4 linked regions of the Saccharomyces cerevisiae S288C genome follow. The protein of the gene in region 4 binds, or shares a complex with, the protein of the main gene of each other region. Each region holds a gene or a part of one and is shown on either strand. Other genes may lie near its edges. The genes, in order: PTA1, SWD2, PAP1 and PFS2.

What was found.
Region 1: PFS2 (region 4) and PTA1 share a complex: the UniProt entries of both Saccharomyces cerevisiae proteins name them as parts of the cleavage and polyadenylation factor (CPF) complex.
Region 2: PFS2 (region 4) and SWD2 share a complex: the UniProt entries of both Saccharomyces cerevisiae proteins name them as parts of the cleavage and polyadenylation factor (CPF) complex.
Region 3: PFS2 (region 4) and PAP1 share a complex: the UniProt entries of both Saccharomyces cerevisiae proteins name them as parts of the cleavage and polyadenylation factor (CPF) complex.

Annotation. Positions count from the first base shown.
Region 1 is NC_001133.9:58,195-64,433, reverse strand, and holds PTA1 (RNA-processing protein PTA1), read left to right. Parts: upstream 1-3,381; coding exon 3,382-5,739; downstream 5,740-6,239. Other genes in the region: Rho family guanine nucleotide exchange factor CDC24, read right to left, coding at 1-1,594; retrograde cargo receptor ERV46, read right to left, coding at 1,871-3,118; GCV3 (glycine decarboxylase subunit H), read left to right, coding at 5,972-6,239. UniProt on the Saccharomyces cerevisiae protein: Essential in pre-tRNA processing. Component of the cleavage and polyadenylation factor (CPF) complex, which plays a key role in polyadenylation-dependent pre-mRNA 3'-end formation and cooperates with cleavage factors including the CFIA complex and NAB4/CFIB.
Region 2 is NC_001143.9:401,396-406,237, forward strand, and holds SWD2 (WD-repeat containing protein SWD2), read left to right. Parts: upstream 1-2,706; coding exon 2,707-3,696; downstream 3,697-4,842. Other genes in the region: SPT23 (Spt23p), read right to left, coding at 1-685; RAM2 (bifunctional protein farnesyltransferase/protein geranylgeranyltransferase), read left to right, coding at 1,173-2,123; MCO12 (Mco12p), read right to left, coding at 2,185-2,484; ATP-dependent 5'-3' DNA helicase HCS1, read right to left, coding at 3,795-4,842. UniProt on the Saccharomyces cerevisiae protein: The COMPASS (Set1C) complex specifically mono-, di- and trimethylates histone H3 to form H3K4me1/2/3, which subsequently plays a role in telomere length maintenance and transcription elongation regulation. Involved in mediating RNA polymerase II termination.
Region 3 is NC_001143.9:441,145-445,438, forward strand, and holds PAP1 (polynucleotide adenylyltransferase PAP1), read left to right. Parts: upstream 1-2,087; coding exon 2,088-3,794; downstream 3,795-4,294. Other genes in the region: dynamin-like GTPase VPS1, read right to left, coding at 1-1,578; oxysterol-binding protein OSH6, read left to right, coding at 4,237-4,294. UniProt on the Saccharomyces cerevisiae protein: Polymerase component of the cleavage and polyadenylation factor (CPF) complex, which plays a key role in polyadenylation-dependent pre-mRNA 3'-end formation and cooperates with cleavage factors including the CFIA complex and NAB4/CFIB.
Region 4 is NC_001146.8:38,307-43,330, forward strand, and holds PFS2 (cleavage polyadenylation factor subunit PFS2), read left to right. Parts: upstream 1-2,312; coding exon 2,313-3,710; downstream 3,711-5,024. Other genes in the region: YNL320W (uncharacterized protein), read left to right, coding at 1-248; HXT14 (Hxt14p), read right to left, coding at 401-2,023; prephenate dehydratase PHA2, read right to left, coding at 3,765-4,769; ATP11 (Atp11p), read right to left, coding at 5,018-5,024. UniProt on the Saccharomyces cerevisiae protein: Integral and essential component of the cleavage and polyadenylation factor (CPF) complex, which plays a key role in polyadenylation-dependent pre-mRNA 3'-end formation and cooperates with cleavage factors including the CFIA complex and NAB4/CFIB.

The sequences.
Region 1 (6,239 bases), on a different chromosome or scaffold from region 4:
GGATTAGTGATGATGCAGATTTCTTAGTCACTACCTCTGAAAAAAGGATGATGATTTTTTCAAAAAGATAAACCTCAAATTCTCTTTCAGGTTCCGAGGAGCTATTTGTTGTTGAAATGAACACTTTATCGAAATATAATAACTCACCGAACTTGGAAATTCTATAACCCTTCCAGTTGACCACTCTACCATAAAGTTTCTTCACCACTTGATGATTTTCTGTTCTTCTTTGATTTTCGTTGATACTTCTCGCAATATTTTTAGAAATATCTAAAGCAGCTTCAAGTTCTTTCGTATTATTATCGTCACTCGATTCAGCAAGCAATTCTTTGACCAACAGGGGATATCTACAAAGCCTTTGCACGGGTTTATAAAGGAAGGATTGCAATTCCAGTTTATTGTTAATTATGAACCGCTGCGATTCATCAACCCTCATCTTGTGCAAAGTTGAAGAGAGAAATTCGATGGCTGCATTTTGGCCAATAGACCAAGGCTCATACAACTTAAAAAAATGTTTGGAATGCATGAAAAGAGCCCCGATTCTTTGCTTGGAAGGTTCTACTAAAGCATTTATTTCCAAGGATATTAGAAATCTTCTTTGAAAATCTATAGCATCACCCAAATTAGGGAACAACATGTACAACTCTTCAGACGTTATTAGATTGCTGTCTAATAACTGCTGTCTATATTTATCCAAAATTTCCAAATCGTGAACATATTTTCTTTCCGTTGCAACGAATTCCTTGATAATTTTAACATACTCGTTATGCTTCTTCGAAGACTGCTGAGGCTGATGTCGGTGTTGGTTTTCTGCGTTCATGATTTGCTGTGTCTTACTCTTAGAGGGGAAAATAGTAGGGCTGGAATTCATTAGCGTTTCTACTACTTCTAGCACTTTGACCAGCTGGGAAGTAGAGTTGGCAAAAACGTCGGATATAGTGAAAAGCTCCTCATCGTTAAATGCAAAGTGTTTCTTGCAGCCCAATATAAAGTCATAAATGGATTTTTTACAGACTTTCAAATCGTCAGATGCTATTACCGGTAATTTAAATTGCGGCTTCACAGAGTTGAAAAGTATACAGAGGGGCGCACCTTGTTGAAACAGCTGTGATAGTTGTGTCACAGGGTCGCAATCCATGGTAATGGGCAAAATACCCATACTAAAAGTCAGTAAAGTGTCCTCCATATTTGGGGTGGCCGAGGGATTCGAATTCGTGTATGATATACCTTCCATCGACATGAGACTGGTAGCTGTGGAGATAGAGCTAGACCTTAAAGTTGGTGCCAAGTCGCTACTGTCCCGGTTAGCGCCATTGGACTTGAGCAGTTCCTGATGCTGCTTTTGGGATAGCAAAAGAGATTGCCTTTCACTCAAAACCTCGCTCGATTGGTAGGCCAATTGTAAAAAAGGTTTGAGTTGAGGTAACACCTCCAGTCTTTTCCGGATGTTTGCGCATATATGGAACAGTGAGTCCTGTTCCGTGACAGGCTTGTTCATGACATTTTGCATGGGTATGGAGATGGAAGTTGCACTTGGTTTTGGTTTCAAATCGGATAAAGATGTGCCCGAGGCAAAACGGGTTTGGATCGCCATGATCTCTCGGGTTGGATTAGCAGACAGGTCTTGATAGGGCTAGGCAACAAATGATAACAGCAATGGTACTCTTCTGCTATCCTACCATAGCCACATTCTTGTTCTGTTTCTACCTTAAAGCTTCTGTTTTCCACTTCTTCCCACCAGTGCGTCGTTCTTCGCGATTATCGTACAATATGATATTTGTACAAGTAGTGATATACCAATTTCTATACTATATATATATATTATGTAGTAGTATGTAGAAAGGGCTCTTCCCTATGACAGTCTCTTCCTCTACTGGCTCTTCTTGCCCCAGATCGATCTCTGTGCTTTGTAGAATAGCTTGTCCATGACAGTGCCCACAGCTAGGACACCACCAATGCTGGTGATACAATTCAAGATGAAGCCCGACCAAGTCTGCCCGTGCTGTTCCTTATTGATGACTTTCAATGGAGACATTTCGAAAAAGACGAACATACCAGGGATACCACCCCTAACGTGAAGTGTGTTTGGATGATCCTTGTCCCTTCCACCGGCAAGAGGTCGGGAATGAAAAGTGGCGCTGAACTGCGCGGTCTCAATGACAACATTATCCAAGTACTCATATCTGGTGGGGACAATCTTGGCAAAATACGAGAACTGGTGAAAGTGTGTGTTCCTGTCCGGGAACACCTGGCGTCCGTCCAAGGGAGAAGTGGCAACTACGGCGCCGCCGTGGCGCTTATCGTTTCCTAACAACTTACTGTGGGACTGGATCGGCTTCCCAAAGCTCAAATGATTGATGATGTGGTTGAAGTTCAAATTCGAAGTCTTGTCGTACAAAGAAGTATCATGAAAATGTCCATATGCATTCTGGTAGGGTTTTCCAGGGGCAAAGTGAAGATTCCCCTGAATTCTGTTAATTTGTGCAGAACCTTTGATCCTGCAGCCTTCATTCAAGTGCTCGTTAATCTTGCTGACATAGCCCTCTCTTTCACACTGCTCGATATTCTTCCCGTCGAAAAAAGCCCAGCCTGCCTCCAAGTATGCTGATCTCACTGCATCACAGTCTTGGCAGCAAACCTTCTCTTCCTGTGCTAGATTCTCATTCTGCGACTGATCTTTGGCACCGTAACATGGCCCACAATAGTTAGGATCGTTATTAACCGGCGCGGTTCCGTCGCCGTTCCCACCCACATGCAACTCAGTAGCATCTCCCACGGGGCGACCCTCGCTATTCAACCTAGACATCGTGAACCCTGCGTCAAGAATGTCTAGTTGCATCTCTCCAGAGTCGTCCATAATATCGAGATTCACCAGGTCACATGGCATCGATGGAAATGTCACATCCATATTAAGCTCCAGCTTTGCGTGTCGGTCACGGTCCACCACCAATTGTGGCCTTGTTACCACAGAATTGAACTGTCCCCACTCGTTCACCAGCAGAAATAACGTGGTCAAGATGCACGATAAAGTGATCAGCCCGCCGGCCCTGGTGCGGACTCGTACGTCCTCTTCGGTCTTAGCGAATGCGTCCAGCGACAGCAACGTGGACCTTTTCATGATGTCTATTGTGTCTAGCTATGTGTGTTATATCACTGTCCTACTCCGCATGTATACGAGACATAAAACTAGCTTTCCTTTATAATGGCGTGGTTTCCACTCCATCTTGATGGAAAATCGCCGTTCTGATGTTCAAGTCGTATATAGTGACTTGATCTAAAAGTGAAAAGTTGCCATATTTCGATACCTTTTAACCGTTAGTACTTGACTGAACAAATGGTTAAATCGTGGCAAGAAGCATATAACTACCACTAAGCAGCGCAATGTCATCTGCAGAGATGGAACAATTGTTACAGGCCAAGACACTGGCCATGCACAACAATCCAACGGAGATGCTGCCCAAGGTGCTCGAAACTACGGCATCCATGTACCACAACGGTAATCTCAGCAAGCTGAAGTTGCCTTTGGCCAAGTTTTTTACACAGTTAGTTCTAGACGTGGTGTCGATGGACTCTCCAATTGCGAATACTGAGAGACCGTTTATTGCTGCTCAATATCTGCCACTACTTCTTGCTATGGCGCAATCCACCGCGGACGTACTAGTGTACAAGAATATCGTGCTTATTATGTGCGCTTCATACCCGCTGGTGTTGGATCTGGTTGCTAAGACATCAAACCAGGAAATGTTTGATCAGTTGTGTATGCTGAAGAAGTTCGTGCTCTCGCACTGGAGAACTGCATATCCTTTGCGTGCCACCGTTGACGATGAAACGGATGTCGAACAATGGCTGGCGCAGATTGACCAAAATATCGGCGTGAAATTAGCGACCATCAAGTTCATATCTGAGGTCGTGCTGTCGCAAACTAAATCACCCAGCGGCAACGAGATTAATTCATCTACCATCCCGGATAACCACCCTGTGTTGAACAAACCGGCTTTGGAGAGCGAGGCTAAGAGGCTTCTTGATATGTTGCTAAACTACCTAATTGAGGAACAGTACATGGTCTCGTCCGTTTTCATTGGTATCATCAATTCTTTATCCTTCGTCATCAAAAGAAGGCCGCAGACAACAATAAGAATTCTTTCCGGGCTGTTGCGTTTCAACGTCGACGCCAAGTTTCCCCTAGAGGGCAAGTCTGACTTGAACTACAAACTATCCAAGAGATTTGTTGAAAGGGCGTACAAGAACTTTGTGCAATTTGGGCTAAAAAATCAAATCATTACAAAATCCCTCTCATCCGGATCAGGGTCATCGATCTACTCCAAGCTGACCAAGATTTCTCAAACTTTACACGTTATTGGCGAAGAGACCAAGAGCAAGGGAATTTTGAACTTCGACCCTTCCAAGGGCAATAGCAAGAAAACGTTGTCCAGGCAGGACAAACTAAAATACATCTCACTATGGAAAAGGCAATTATCCGCGTTATTGTCTACTCTAGGGGTGTCCACAAAGACCCCCACGCCTGTGTCCGCACCTGCAACGGGCTCTTCAACCGAAAACATGCTTGATCAACTGAAGATATTGCAAAAATACACCCTCAACAAGGCTTCACACCAGGGCAATACTTTTTTCAACAACTCACCCAAACCAATCAGCAACACCTACTCATCTGTGTACTCATTGATGAACAGTTCGAACTCCAACCAGGATGTGACCCAGCTACCCAATGACATACTTATCAAGCTGTCCACAGAGGCCATCTTGCAAATGGACAGCACGAAACTGATCACCGGATTGTCTATCGTTGCTTCGAGGTACACGGATTTAATGAATACGTACATCAATTCTGTACCGTCCTCGTCATCATCAAAGAGGAAATCCGACGATGATGACGACGGCAACGACAATGAAGAAGTTGGAAACGATGGCCCAACGGCTAATAGCAAGAAAATCAAAATGGAAACAGAACCACTAGCGGAGGAACCAGAGGAGCCCGAAGACGATGACCGAATGCAGAAGATGCTTCAAGAAGAGGAAAGCGCCCAAGAAATCTCAGGAGATGCCAACAAATCAACTTCTGCCATTAAGGAGATCGCACCCCCCTTTGAACCTGACTCATTGACGCAGGATGAAAAACTAAAGTACCTCTCAAAGCTGACCAAGAAACTGTTTGAATTATCCGGTCGCCAGGATACTACCCGGGCCAAATCTTCGTCTTCCTCCTCCATATTACTGGACGATGACGACTCCTCGTCATGGTTACACGTCTTAATCAGATTGGTTACGAGAGGAATCGAAGCACAAGAGGCCAGTGACCTGATTCGTGAAGAACTGCTTGGCTTCTTCATCCAGGATTTCGAGCAACGTGTCAGTCTGATCATTGAATGGCTCAATGAAGAATGGTTCTTCCAAACCTCGCTGCATCAAGATCCCTCTAACTACAAAAAATGGTCCTTAAGAGTTCTCGAGTCTCTGGGTCCATTCCTTGAAAACAAACACAGACGATTCTTCATCAGACTTATGAGCGAACTGCCCAGTCTTCAAAGCGATCATCTTGAGGCACTGAAGCCTATCTGCCTGGATCCGGCAAGAAGTTCCCTTGGTTTCCAAACGCTAAAGTTTCTCATTATGTTTAGACCCCCAGTGCAGGACACTGTTCGCGACCTGCTGCATCAGCTAAAGCAAGAAGATGAAGGCTTACACAAGCAGTGCGATTCACTGCTTGACAGGCTAAAATGATCACAACCATTACATACATCATATATACGCATGTGTAGGGTCTTCCTTCAACTTGCAAATCAATGTTTTATCTATCATTCTGTGCTATAGGGACCTCGCAATTTTGACACTTCCGTAAGGAGTCATTCAGCGGCGGAGTCACTTTCGCTAACTCTTTCTTCTATATATACAGACCAACAAACAAGTATCTAATGGGAAAGGGAATCTCCACATGAAGCATACCACATCGACAATGTTACGCACTACTAGACTATGGACCACCCGCATGCCCACTGTGAGCAAATTGTTTTTGAGAAACAGCTCCGGCAATGCCCTAAACAAGAATAAACTACCATTTTTGTACTCATCCCAAGGACCTCAAGCCGTGAGGTACACTTCCCAACATGAGTGGATAGCTGTGCATCAGGACAAGACTGCCTTTGTCGGAATTACAAAATACGCCACTGATGCCTTAGGGGACGCTACCTATGTTGAGTTGCCAGAAGTGGGCACTGAGATTG
Region 2 (4,842 bases), on a different chromosome or scaffold from region 4:
TCAACCCAGACTTTCTTCTCGACGCTCTTCTTTTTTCCCTGTTGATACATCTATTACAAACATAGGTCTGCTTGAAGTTGTTGCTATTGTTGTTAGATGCACACAAAAGAAAGGCGTCCAAGAAAAGAGTCCTTTCGTTGATGTCCCTATTGGGTATTGTCAAGTTGGTGGGATCGTCCGAGCTGGTGAAAAACTTGTCCTTCGCTATACAATCAGAGGGCAGATGAATAAAGAAGTTTTTTCTTGCATGTGCGTTTCTAATCCGAAAACTCAGCTTCATCTGAGTTTCCACCCTAGAAACCTTCGGCAACCCAATAATTTCTAGAGACAATGGAAGGGACTGCGGGTTAATGTTGATAAAATCCAGTGGATTCGCGTATGGCGTCCTCAGAGGTAGCTTTCTGCCAAATTGAACGTGTCGATCAAGCAATCCTTGCAAAGATGCGATGTCATCCCTGAGCTCCCCTTCATCTTCCTTACCTGGTGTAGTAGTACCTGCTGTTATCATTTTCTCTTGGTTCAGACTCAATAAACCAGGGTCTTGCAGAGAGGACCCAGAGTTGAGCAGAGCAATATCCAGTAATTCTGATTCTAGTAAATCCAAGTCCGGAGAGCCATCGTTGTGCTGTATGTTGGCGCTATAGCTGTGGAGCATCGAGGAAACGTTTCCTGTGCCACTCATCATTTTCAGTGGTGTACTACTGTTGTGATTAGTCGTTTAGAGGATATCTAGAGTATAATTATTTTGAATGAGTTTCGTTGACATTTTCAGTTCATGCGATCATCTTACTTTCATGGTTGCTCCTTGCCGTTAAAATTGAAACGAAAAAAGCGGGAATACAACAATGTCACCTTACACGAGCAGAGAAAAGGGCAGCAATAGCGACAATAACCGATAATGCCAGGCCTTCCAGAGCCCTATGCTGACCTATATTCATCATGACGCTATCCATATGCAACTAGAGACCTGCTGGGAAGCGCTCTCTCATTTTTGAAGGTTGCAGCAGTGCTCGCGCCGGTTTTCGATTGGGCCTCGTGATAAAACACATCAGCAAAGTTTCGCTTTTGACATTCTGTTAAATTGGTCCTTAACTGTTGGTGCAGACCTACTGCAAGACTGTTAATTATGGTATATTATATATCAAGTGCTGATACAACGTACACCATCGAAAATGGAGGAGTACGATTATTCAGACGTTAAACCTTTGCCCATTGAGACAGACTTGCAGGATGAACTGTGCAGGATTATGTATACCGAGGATTATAAGCGGTTGATGGGACTCGCAAGGGCTCTGATCAGCCTTAACGAACTGTCACCCAGGGCACTACAGCTAACAGCCGAAATTATCGACGTGGCGCCAGCCTTCTACACCATATGGAACTACCGATTCAATATCGTCAGGCACATGATGAGTGAATCCGAAGACACTGTCTTGTACCTGAACAAGGAATTAGACTGGCTAGATGAAGTTACGCTGAATAATCCAAAGAACTATCAGATCTGGTCCTATAGACAGTCTCTTTTGAAGCTACATCCGTCTCCTTCCTTCAAAAGAGAGCTGCCTATCTTAAAACTGATGATTGATGATGATTCCAAGAATTATCACGTTTGGTCGTACAGAAAGTGGTGCTGTTTGTTCTTCAGTGACTTTCAACATGAGCTCGCCTACGCCAGCGACCTCATCGAGACAGACATTTATAACAACAGCGCATGGACTCATAGGATGTTTTACTGGGTGAACGCTAAAGATGTCATTTCAAAAGTGGAATTGGCCGACGAGCTCCAGTTCATTATGGACAAGATTCAATTGGTTCCGCAGAACATCAGTCCGTGGACCTACCTCCGTGGTTTCCAAGAGCTATTCCATGATAGGCTACAGTGGGATAGCAAAGTAGTCGACTTCGCCACAACCTTCATCGGTGACGTATTGTCACTTCCAATTGGCTCACCAGAGGATTTGCCCGAGATCGAGTCCTCATATGCCCTGGAATTCCTGGCATATCACTGGGGGGCAGACCCTTGTACCCGAGACAACGCTGTTAAGGCCTATAGCTTGCTAGCAATCAAATACGATCCTATTAGAAAAAACTTGTGGCACCACAAAATAAATAATCTGAACTGAATATATGTAAGCACTCTATTTGTACGAATATATTTACGTGTGTACGTGCATGCACGCAAGTTTAATCTAGTTCTACAAACCTACTGCTGTATTGAGATTGATCTCTTCCCCTTCGTTTTGGACCGCTATCATTGATGCGTCCAAACCCGTCCTCGTTCAACTGCTTTCTGAAAAATTTAGAACGTTTAACCATCTTCAGCGTCCTTGTGTAGCACATCTCTCCCCATGACAGATATCTATGTATCCAGCCGCCCAACTGATACTGGTTGTAAAAGAATATCATTCCCGTCTCCCTTCTTATTGCCGATAGGAGCATAGCTACCAACGTCCCCTCTACTACCCACCTTATCATTCCCAACATCTTGCAATATGTTACGATCTGATCTTCACTCTCTTTTGCTCCTTCTTTTTGCTGTTTAACTGTTACCTACACTCATTTATTCGATACCTTTTTTTACCCATTTTTTCTTCATGCAGTTTAGCACTAGTACATTAAAAAAGAAAGAAAAAAAATGAAAGCAAGACTAAAATATCGAGCAAAGCACAAGCAAATACACCGTTTGTCCTTTTAGCATAGCCAACAATGACCACCGTGTCCATCAATAAGCCCAACCTGCTGAAATTCAAGCATGTTAAAAGCTTTCAACCTCAAGAAAAAGACTGCGGACCCGTAACCTCATTGAATTTCGACGATAATGGCCAGTTTCTACTGACCTCTTCTTCCAACGATACAATGCAATTGTACAGTGCCACGAACTGCAAATTCTTGGACACTATAGCCTCTAAGAAATATGGCTGTCACTCCGCTATCTTTACGCACGCACAAAACGAATGTATCTATTCCTCTACAATGAAAAATTTTGACATTAAATACCTTAATCTGGAAACAAACCAATATCTAAGATATTTTTCCGGTCATGGCGCCCTAGTGAATGATTTGAAGATGAACCCCGTGAACGATACGTTTCTATCGTCGTCATACGATGAATCCGTTAGGCTTTGGGATTTGAAGATCTCTAAACCGCAAGTTATTATACCAAGTCTCGTACCAAATTGTATCGCATATGATCCAAGTGGCCTTGTATTCGCATTGGGGAACCCAGAGAATTTCGAAATAGGGCTATATAATCTGAAAAAAATTCAGGAGGGTCCTTTCTTGATAATTAAAATTAATGATGCGACTTTCAGTCAATGGAATAAATTAGAATTTTCTAACAATGGAAAGTATTTATTAGTTGGCTCCTCGATAGGAAAGCATTTAATTTTTGACGCATTCACAGGTCAACAATTATTCGAACTAATAGGAACAAGGGCCTTCCCGATGAGAGAATTTCTAGATTCTGGATCTGCTTGTTTCACACCAGATGGTGAATTCGTCCTTGGAACCGATTATGACGGTAGGATTGCCATTTGGAATCATTCTGATTCAATAAGTAACAAAGTATTAAGGCCGCAAGGGTTCATTCCCTGTGTTTCTCATGAGACCTGCCCCAGGTCAATTGCATTCAACCCTAAATATTCGATGTTTGTTACCGCAGACGAAACAGTAGATTTTTACGTGTACGATGAATGACTGCTGCTACTGCATTGATATACTAGAGGATATAATATATAACGAACATTTTTTACCTACTGTATAACGACGTATACTCTATACATCTTGTGTATTCTTTACAAATAATCGTCAATGTTGGGGTACCTTACGTCAGCGTTCTCTTCACACCATTCTGACCAACTTTTTAGGTACTTGTTACCGCACCTTTGCAGAACTTCTATATTGCCAACAACAACTAGTTGCCTTCTGGGTCTTGTCATGGCGACGTTCAGTCTTCGTTCTTCCTTAAGGAAACCAACTTCAAATTTTTCATTGCTACGAACTAAACTCAATATGATAACATCTTTTTCACGGCCCTGGAACCCATCTACAGTTGATATTTCAATATCAGTTAATTTTAATTCATCATGGATCAATTTTTTCAGATGAGAAACTTGTGCATTGTATGGAGAAATAACACCTATAGAGTTCTCCGGGACGTTGAATGACCTTAAATTCTCAATGTGTTCTTTTACAATGGCAATTTCGCCCTCATTATACTTAGATCCAAGGATAGTAGCTTCATCTGCAGTCTCTTGAAATTCATCACCTTGCGTATCATACCAAATTAAAGGAATTTTTGTATCGTCATCATCCTCAGATGGCGTAGCATCGACGGTCGGTAGGTCTATCAAAAGTCTGTTCGCGACCGTTGCATCGGCCAATAGTTTCCCATTATACATTGAGTGCGATGGAAATTCCATAATTTTTTGATTCATCCTGTATTGAACGTTAAGAAATTTTACCATATCCCTTTTCGGGAATATTTTGATTATTCTGTCAAATAGTGTGGTTTCCAAATTGTGAATGACATTTTTGTCGTCTTCTGTTTTGATTGTGGGTGGCAATTGTTTATTGTCACCAGCAAGGACTAGTTTGTGGAACTGATTTTGATGTGCAATTAGTGGGATCCAGCATTGTGGTTCCATGGCCTGTGAGACTTCATCGATGATCAAGGTATCGAAAAGCTGGAAATTTGGATCATCTCTATAAAGGGAGCATAGTTCTCTCGATGATGAACCGTGTAAAGTGGTGACGACTATTCTCGATTGTATTATTAAGTCCTTAATGGTTTTGAACTCTCTTTTCTTTAAATCTTTGCGCAGCAGTTTAATTTCGTTCCAG
Region 3 (4,294 bases), on a different chromosome or scaffold from region 4:
GTAAGTTTGTTCAGCTTTGATGATATCGACAACAAACTCATTCGTAGGAATAGTAGCATCCTTTAAGAACTGAATGAACTGATTAGAAATCGCTTCTCTTAGAGCAGGATACCTTGAGTACTTTGGTTGTGAAATAATCTGTTTTAGCATACGAACAAGTTCATCAAACACCAGAGTAACTAAACGTAGAGATGGTTCTTCAAATCTTCTAATTTGCTGTTTAACTAAAACTTCAAAAGCTTCGGTACCGACAAACAAAGATGGGGCAGAACCTGAACTATTGTACATAATGGTTCTGATATCAGAATCTTTGATCTGGTCGAATGGATCCAAAGAGTCTACACCATTTTTGAAAGTTTCATGGAATACGTAAGAAATTCTAGCACCACCAGAAAGTTCCTGACTGGAAAGCTCCTTCGCCTCACCGTCCAAGATACCGGCATATTCATTGGAAAAATCAGTAATCATGCTCAAAACAACCGAACTAGCTGAATCCATAGTTTCTGGGCCCAAGTTTATAAGTTCGTTTTGATATTTTTTCAATGTGGCTTCGATTTTCGCTTTGATTTCTGGCAGAGTTTGCCTAATGTGGTGTAATAAGATTGAGTTTAACTTTTTAGCCAAATATGGTGTACCACAGTAATGAGCTTTAGAACTGTAAGAGGGATGGTTCTCAAAAAATTTTCTTTCGTTTTCAAGGGCTTCTCTGATTGTTTTTTTGTGTTCAATATCCTTTTGACCTCTATTGATAACTGGGATATAACCATATCTCAAAGGAATGACTCTTCCAGCCAAAATATCTATGACATCTGTACCTTGATCCATCAAATCGACTTTTGTCAAGACACCAATAGTTCTCGTTCCTTCTGGATCGACCTCTCTAGCCAGCTTCAAACCATCGCTGTTGGCTAAATCGGTGTTAGCGGCATTAACAGATAATATGATAGCGTTTGGTTTCGAAATATACTTTAACAACATGTCCTTAATTTGTCTTTCAATATCAGGAGGTTGGTCACCTACGGGAACCTTCGTCAACCCAGGCAAATCCACTAACGTCAAAGTAAGAACATGCGGAGAATAAATTCTCAAGTTAATGGGCACAGAAGAAATACCTGAATTGGCACCTGTCACTTTGTCAGTTTCTTTGACGATTTCCTTTCTAATTTCGTCAAAATTATAAAACTTCTTACCAGGTAAATGCAAAAATTCACCCCATTCCTCTTTATTGTCTTCAGATTGTCCCTCGTTCTGGTGCTTTCCTGATTCATCCTTTTTCTTGTCATCATCGTTGATGTTCAAGTCAATCAATTCATTAGCAGTTTGGTTTACTTTAGCATGTTCTGACTTTTTTGGTCTCCTATTAATCAATTGTAACACTAAAGGTCTCCTGGTGACAATACCAGTACCTCTTGGCAAGAAATCCCTACCAACAATGTTCTCCAAAACGGACGACTTTCCTGACGACTGGGAACCGACAACAGTGATCTGTGGTAAATCAATAGGAGATTGAGATCCTCCTCCTAAGGGCGCCAAAGCGTCCTGAAGCTTGTTAATAGTAGAAATTAAATGCTCATCCATGATATCTGATAATATAAAATGTGCAGTTTTCGTACGGTCCTTATTTTGGTGCTATAAAAGGCCTCTCTAATTCTTTTTTAGGAGTAAATAGATGAATTATCTCGGTCTGTCTTGGAAGATATGTTGTTCTCTTGATGGCAAAGCGACGCGAATCAACGGCGCCCAAGTCTTTGGGTGACCCGGCCACTTAATAATGTTTGGGGAAGAAATCAATCCATTAGAACATTGGTTTTGGAAACTAGGCCAGTCCAAGCGCACAAGTGGTTTACCCTCGAGCATTTTTCGACTATTAGAGGATTCAAGTATCTATCGAATTCTCTGAAGCTATCATACTATCCTCTGGACGATATTAGAACGATTTTTCAAGTGAAACGTTTTAGCAAAAGTTTAAAGACACTAAACTAGCTAAATAATTTCACTGTGAGCAAGTCTTTAAACGGTCTTTTTTGAATCAAAAGAGGCCTAGAATTAGCAAAATATTTAACGCATAAACTTTTTTTAGACAAATAATGAGCTCTCAAAAGGTTTTTGGTATTACTGGACCTGTTTCCACCGTGGGCGCCACAGCAGCAGAAAATAAATTAAATGATAGTTTAATCCAAGAACTGAAAAAGGAAGGATCGTTCGAAACAGAGCAAGAAACTGCCAATAGGGTACAAGTGTTGAAAATATTGCAGGAATTGGCACAAAGATTTGTTTATGAAGTATCGAAGAAGAAAAATATGTCAGACGGGATGGCAAGGGATGCTGGTGGGAAGATTTTTACGTATGGGTCCTATAGACTAGGAGTCCATGGGCCTGGTAGTGATATCGATACTTTGGTAGTTGTTCCAAAACATGTAACTCGGGAAGATTTTTTTACGGTATTTGATTCACTACTGAGAGAGAGGAAGGAACTGGATGAAATTGCACCTGTACCTGATGCGTTTGTCCCGATTATCAAGATAAAGTTCAGTGGTATTTCTATCGATTTAATCTGTGCACGTCTAGACCAACCTCAAGTGCCTTTATCCTTGACTTTATCAGATAAAAATCTACTGCGAAATCTAGACGAGAAGGACTTGAGAGCTTTGAATGGTACCAGAGTAACAGATGAGATATTAGAACTGGTACCAAAGCCGAATGTTTTCAGAATCGCTTTAAGAGCTATTAAGCTATGGGCCCAAAGAAGGGCTGTTTATGCTAATATTTTTGGTTTTCCTGGTGGTGTGGCTTGGGCCATGCTAGTGGCTAGAATTTGTCAACTATACCCTAACGCCTGTAGCGCAGTTATATTGAACAGATTTTTCATCATTTTGTCGGAATGGAATTGGCCACAACCTGTTATCTTGAAACCAATTGAGGATGGCCCGTTACAAGTTCGTGTATGGAATCCAAAGATATATGCCCAAGACAGGTCTCATAGAATGCCCGTCATTACACCAGCTTATCCATCAATGTGTGCTACCCATAACATCACGGAATCTACTAAAAAAGTCATTTTACAGGAATTCGTAAGAGGCGTTCAAATTACGAATGATATTTTTTCCAATAAGAAGTCCTGGGCCAATTTATTCGAAAAAAACGATTTTTTCTTTCGATACAAGTTCTATTTAGAAATTACTGCATATACAAGGGGCAGTGACGAGCAGCATTTAAAATGGAGTGGTCTTGTTGAAAGTAAGGTAAGGCTTCTAGTTATGAAACTGGAGGTGTTAGCTGGAATAAAAATTGCACATCCTTTCACCAAACCCTTTGAAAGTAGTTATTGTTGTCCAACCGAGGATGACTATGAAATGATTCAAGACAAATACGGTAGTCATAAAACTGAGACAGCACTGAACGCCCTTAAACTGGTAACAGATGAAAATAAAGAGGAAGAAAGTATTAAAGATGCACCAAAGGCATATTTAAGCACCATGTACATAGGCCTTGACTTTAATATTGAAAACAAAAAGGAAAAAGTTGACATTCACATTCCCTGCACTGAATTTGTGAATTTATGTCGAAGTTTCAATGAGGATTATGGTGACCACAAAGTATTCAATCTAGCCCTCCGCTTCGTAAAGGGTTACGATTTGCCAGATGAAGTTTTCGATGAAAATGAAAAGAGACCATCAAAGAAGAGTAAAAGGAAGAATTTAGATGCTAGACATGAAACCGTGAAGAGATCTAAATCAGATGCTGCTTCAGGTGACAACATCAATGGCACAACCGCAGCTGTTGACGTAAACTAAGACATTCCTATTTATAGTTGAATAGTTTATTAATATAGGTTAATCAGTCATAAACAAATTTGTACCCTTTTTTTTGAATCAAAGTACTTTTTTTACGAAGCAGTAAAACGTTTACGAGATTCTCTCTACATATGCTCTTTCGCGTGTAGCGACATTTTACCATTAGGTGAGAATTTTGTGTTACAAGCTGGATGTCAGGATGATACCTTTGAAGGCATAGTTAAATTGGCTGGGAAAGGAACGGAACCTTTTCCTTTCCGAGTTTCGGCCAGATATTTAGGCTTTTTTTTTTCTGACGGAATAGGGGACCCAGGATTGACAAATATAACAAAACAAGCTTCAACGAGACGTTTATCTCGAGAATTACGTCTGACAGTTACATGAAGTGTGAGTTCATGCAATCTGTACCTTTATTGACACAGATATACTAAAAGAAGTTACAATGGGCTCCAAAAAACTGACCGTAGGATCTGATTCGCACCGGTTGAGCAAATCCAGTT
Region 4 (5,024 bases):
TATGTCACGAAATCTGGAATTCAGAAGGCCTTATGGGAAGCTGTAGTTCAGAGACGCCATTCTTGTTTTTAAGTGGATTAAAAGATGAAATCGTTCCACCCTTCCACATGAGGAAACTGTACGAAACATGTCCTAGTTCGAACAAAAAGATTTTCGAATTTCCACTTGGTTCACACAATGATACTATTATTCAAGATGGGTACTGGGATATAATAAGAGATTTTCTAATAGAGAAGGGTTTTATCTAAAAGTAATAATCAAAATATTTGATAGATTTATTTACTTTACTGTATGTAAAGAAAATGTGGTCAGTCCTCACGGCCACTTAGTTACTGATGGTTATTTATTATGGAAAAAAAAACTGCACTTTGCTACTTCTTCTATTTATATTATGTAATATCTACTCCGGTTCAAATATTTTATTGATCTCTTGCTCATTCTTTTTCCTCGTTTCAGGAACTAGTATCCAACTGAATATTATCAACGCTAATAGGCAAGCAGCAAATATGTATCCTAGTTTGAAATCAATTTTGGATACAATCATTGGTGTTAAAAGTGATATTAAGAAATTGAACATCCAATTGATAAATGTGCAAATAGCCATTGATATGGCCCTCGTTCTTAGAGGGAACAATTCGGACACTAGTACAAATGTAACTGGGCCCAATGTTATTGCAAACCAAAAAATAAAACAACAAGTCACGATAATTAAAACAATATTTGAGAAGTCCGTTTCTCTTCCAAATGTCCCCACAGTAGCATATGTCATCATATAAAATAATAAATTTGTTGAACCATATAATAAACATGTCTTGTGGCCCCATTTCTCCACGTAATATATGCCTAATATCGTAGAAAGGAAGTTAACACTTGACAGTATGATTGAAGTAATATAAGGATCCTTAATCCCGACACCTTTGAAAACAGACGTTCCGTAATAAAAGAAATAATTTATTCCGGACAGCTGTTGAAATGCCATTATCATCATACCAATAATCAGTCTCAACCATAACTTTGGCTTTCCCATAATAAATTCAAATGTGTTTCTTTTAACTAAGCTTTGCTTTTTTGATTCGTTGTTAGTTTCCTCATTATTATAGTTATTTTCCAGCAAATCATCGATGAATTCAATTACCATGCTATCCGTCGCAGGGATGCCATTCATCCTCGCAAAAGAGTATTTAGCAGAGGGCACATCATTTTTGATTTTTGCCAAGTACTGTGGAGATTCAGGAACGTAAACAAGTGACATTCCAATTATAATTGCCCAAATGTATCCCAAGAACAATGGCAATTGCCAGGCTATATTTTGTGTAGGATCTTTATAACATCTTTCGCATATGAAATTTAAAATGTTTCCCATTAGTATGCCAAATGTTACAATCAATTGATACGTAGATACCATGGAGCCTCTGATTTTTAGTGGAGAATTCTCGGAGAGAAACATTGGCACCAAGACAGTGGTTACTCCCACACCGATTCCCGTTACGGCTCTTCCCAATGTCAAAAAATACCACCTTCCATAGGAGAGAATTTGAATGGTTATACCGATGCAGTACACTACTAAGGCAAACCATATACCACCTTTCCTACCAATCCAATCACCGATTTTTGACAGAGTTAAAGCCCCTACGCCACAACTGATGTTAAAAATACTGATAATTAGGCCTATTTGCAGATCAGTAAGTTTCTTAGTAGATACAAAAATTGTTTCATCGTCATGGATAATATTAGTTGTGCCAAATTTTTCTTGAAAGCTAACCATATTTGTCATTCCACCGATGGTTCCAATGTCCCATCCAAAAATAAAGCCACCAAGCGAGATTACCAAGCACAATAAAACGGGAATATGCAGACTCGCATTGTGACTAATCTTTGCTGCTTGGCCTTCTATATTTTCTTCTTTATCATCTAGATACTTAATGGTTACATTATAATCCCTTCCCCTGCCTGCATCAAGCTCATTATTGTGAAAATGAGAGATGTATCCCGAGCTATGTTGATACGGAATCTGAGCAGTCATTTCTAGCAATAATTGAAGTACTTTACTTCCTAAGAATACGTTAACAAATTCTTTGTTAGTATTTCTAATTAAAAGTGGTTAATTGTTCTGTTAAACAGTATTCAATGTTGCTATTTGAATTTGTGTCATCATTAGAATTACTGACATTTTTATTTTCTATTTTTTTTTCTATTTTTTTTCCTCTTCTTTTGAGGGCCGACGTATCGATTTGTCAAGGGAAGTATAATTAAAGAAAGCACTGATATACAGGTTGCTGGGTAGATATTAAGAAGCTCAACATAGACACGTTATGGACGGGCATAATCAGAACCAGTACCAGAATCAGAATCAAATTCAGCAGTCACAACAACCACCTCTGAAGAAATATGTGACACAGAGACGATCGGTAGACGTGAGTTCTCCGTATATTAACCTATATTACAACAGACGACATGGATTACCGAACCTAGTGGTAGAGCCAGAAACTTCATACACAATAGATATAATGCCGCCTAATGCCTACAGAGGTCGAGATCGAGTCATAAATTTGCCCAGCAAATTTACGCATTTAAGCTCGAATAAAGTGAAACATGTGATACCCGCCATCCAATGGACCCCAGAAGGCAGAAGACTTGTAGTAGCAACTTATAGCGGAGAATTTTCTCTATGGAACGCATCTTCGTTTACGTTTGAAACCCTCATGCAAGCACATGATTCGGCTGTGACTACAATGAAATATTCTCACGACAGTGATTGGATGATTAGTGGGGACGCAGATGGAATGATTAAGATATGGCAACCAAACTTTAGTATGGTTAAAGAAATTGATGCTGCACACACGGAAAGTATTAGGGATATGGCATTCAGTAGTAACGACTCGAAATTTGTTACCTGTTCAGATGATAATATCTTGAAGATTTGGAACTTCAGCAATGGCAAACAAGAAAGAGTATTATCGGGGCACCACTGGGACGTGAAAAGTTGTGATTGGCATCCCGAGATGGGGTTAATTGCCTCCGCATCTAAGGACAATTTAGTAAAACTGTGGGATCCGCGTTCCGGAAACTGCATATCATCAATTCTGAAGTTCAAACATACTGTCTTGAAGACGCGATTTCAACCCACCAAGGGAAATCTATTAATGGCGATTTCAAAAGATAAATCGTGTCGTGTGTTCGACATTAGATACAGTATGAAGGAACTAATGTGTGTAAGAGATGAAACGGATTATATGACACTAGAATGGCACCCAATAAATGAATCTATGTTCACTCTGGCGTGCTATGACGGCTCGCTAAAGCATTTTGATCTTTTACAAAATCTAAACGAACCTATTTTGACTATTCCATACGCCCATGATAAGTGTATCACCTCGTTATCATATAATCCAGTAGGACATATATTTGCCACAGCAGCTAAGGATAGAACCATAAGATTTTGGACTAGAGCGAGGCCAATTGATCCTAATGCATATGATGATCCAACTTATAACAATAAGAAGATAAATGGATGGTTTTTTGGCATCAATAACGACATCAATGCTGTGAGAGAGAAGAGTGAATTCGGTGCGGCCCCGCCACCACCAGCTACACTTGAACCACATGCGTTACCAAACATGAATGGATTCATCAACAAGAAACCGCGTCAAGAAATCCCAGGCATCGATTCAAACATCAAGAGTTCCACATTGCCAGGTTTAAGCATATAAAAGTGCGCTTTGACGAGATTTTAGGATACATAAATAAAAAGACTATATAACATATTATTTGTGATAATATCTCTCATTTCTGGGGAATGTACCCCACAGGCACCACTGTTTACTTTTGTCGCTGATATCTTCATAGAATTTTTCTTTATTCTTTGGGGTATTCTTCTCGGTGTAATATTCAATGAAAAATAAATATCGCCAGTTTCTATCATGTTCGTCCAAATGGAATGGTCTAGAGTTTATAGAACACATGTTGAGTGAATGGATTTTTAGTATGTTCAAAACATCTACCAAAGAACCAGGGTCATCTTGACGAGTAGTAAAGGTGAGTAGGTTAACCCGTAGTAATCCAGTGTCTTCTACTTCATTGTCGCCTGCGTTCTCCCTTCTCTTCAATACTAAAAATCTTGTTGTATTTCCTAGCTTATCATTTATCGAATGTTCAATGATGTACGCCTTATGCAATTGGGCAGCTGTTTCACTAGCAATGGCTAAATGCAGAATGTTGTCGCAATCGGCCGTTGATGACCGAATGCATTGGTTCACTGATTCAGATGTGGAAGAACAATCCAATCTTATAAAGGTGACCTGCGGAAATTTTTCTGCCATGGACCTTAAGTAACATTCAACCTGGCCCCATACTTGCGGATGTGAGTGTATTATGACTTCTTCAAAATTTCCAAGGGATGCAATACCATTTGGTAGTTGGATTGGGCTGATTAGACAATGGGTAATGGGTACATATTGCTCCGCTATAACTTCTATATCTGGTGTAATTCTATTAGTATCTGCTGGAGCAGGTAAGGATAGGGCTTTTTTGATCATCCTATCACGCAAGAGATCATAGGAAAAAACTACTTGTCCATTGGTGGAATTTTCCAACGGTACCACTGAATAATCTATACTAGTGTCGTTCTCCAATTGGTTAAAACATTGGGGGATAGAGGCTGCTGGGAGGTACTCAACATCAGATGTTGATTGAAATTGTTGTAATGCAGCTTGATGGGAATACGTACCTTTGGGACCCAGAAAAAGAACCCTCAAAGTCTTGCTGGCCATAATTGAAGGATGAATGCGGAAATATAATGAAGTTGCTTTTCGTACTTTTTTAGCCTGTTCTTTCTGCGTATTATATTCATCTACTAAAATTTTTATTTTCATTTTTCATTATGAAAATACAAGAGTCATGCTGATAACTGTGTAAAGAAACTGTACGCTTGTCGCAGATGATGTAGTACGTATTTTATTTACAGGTGTCATTAATATATATATATATATATATATACGTATACGGAAGTAATTCTTCGTTAATTT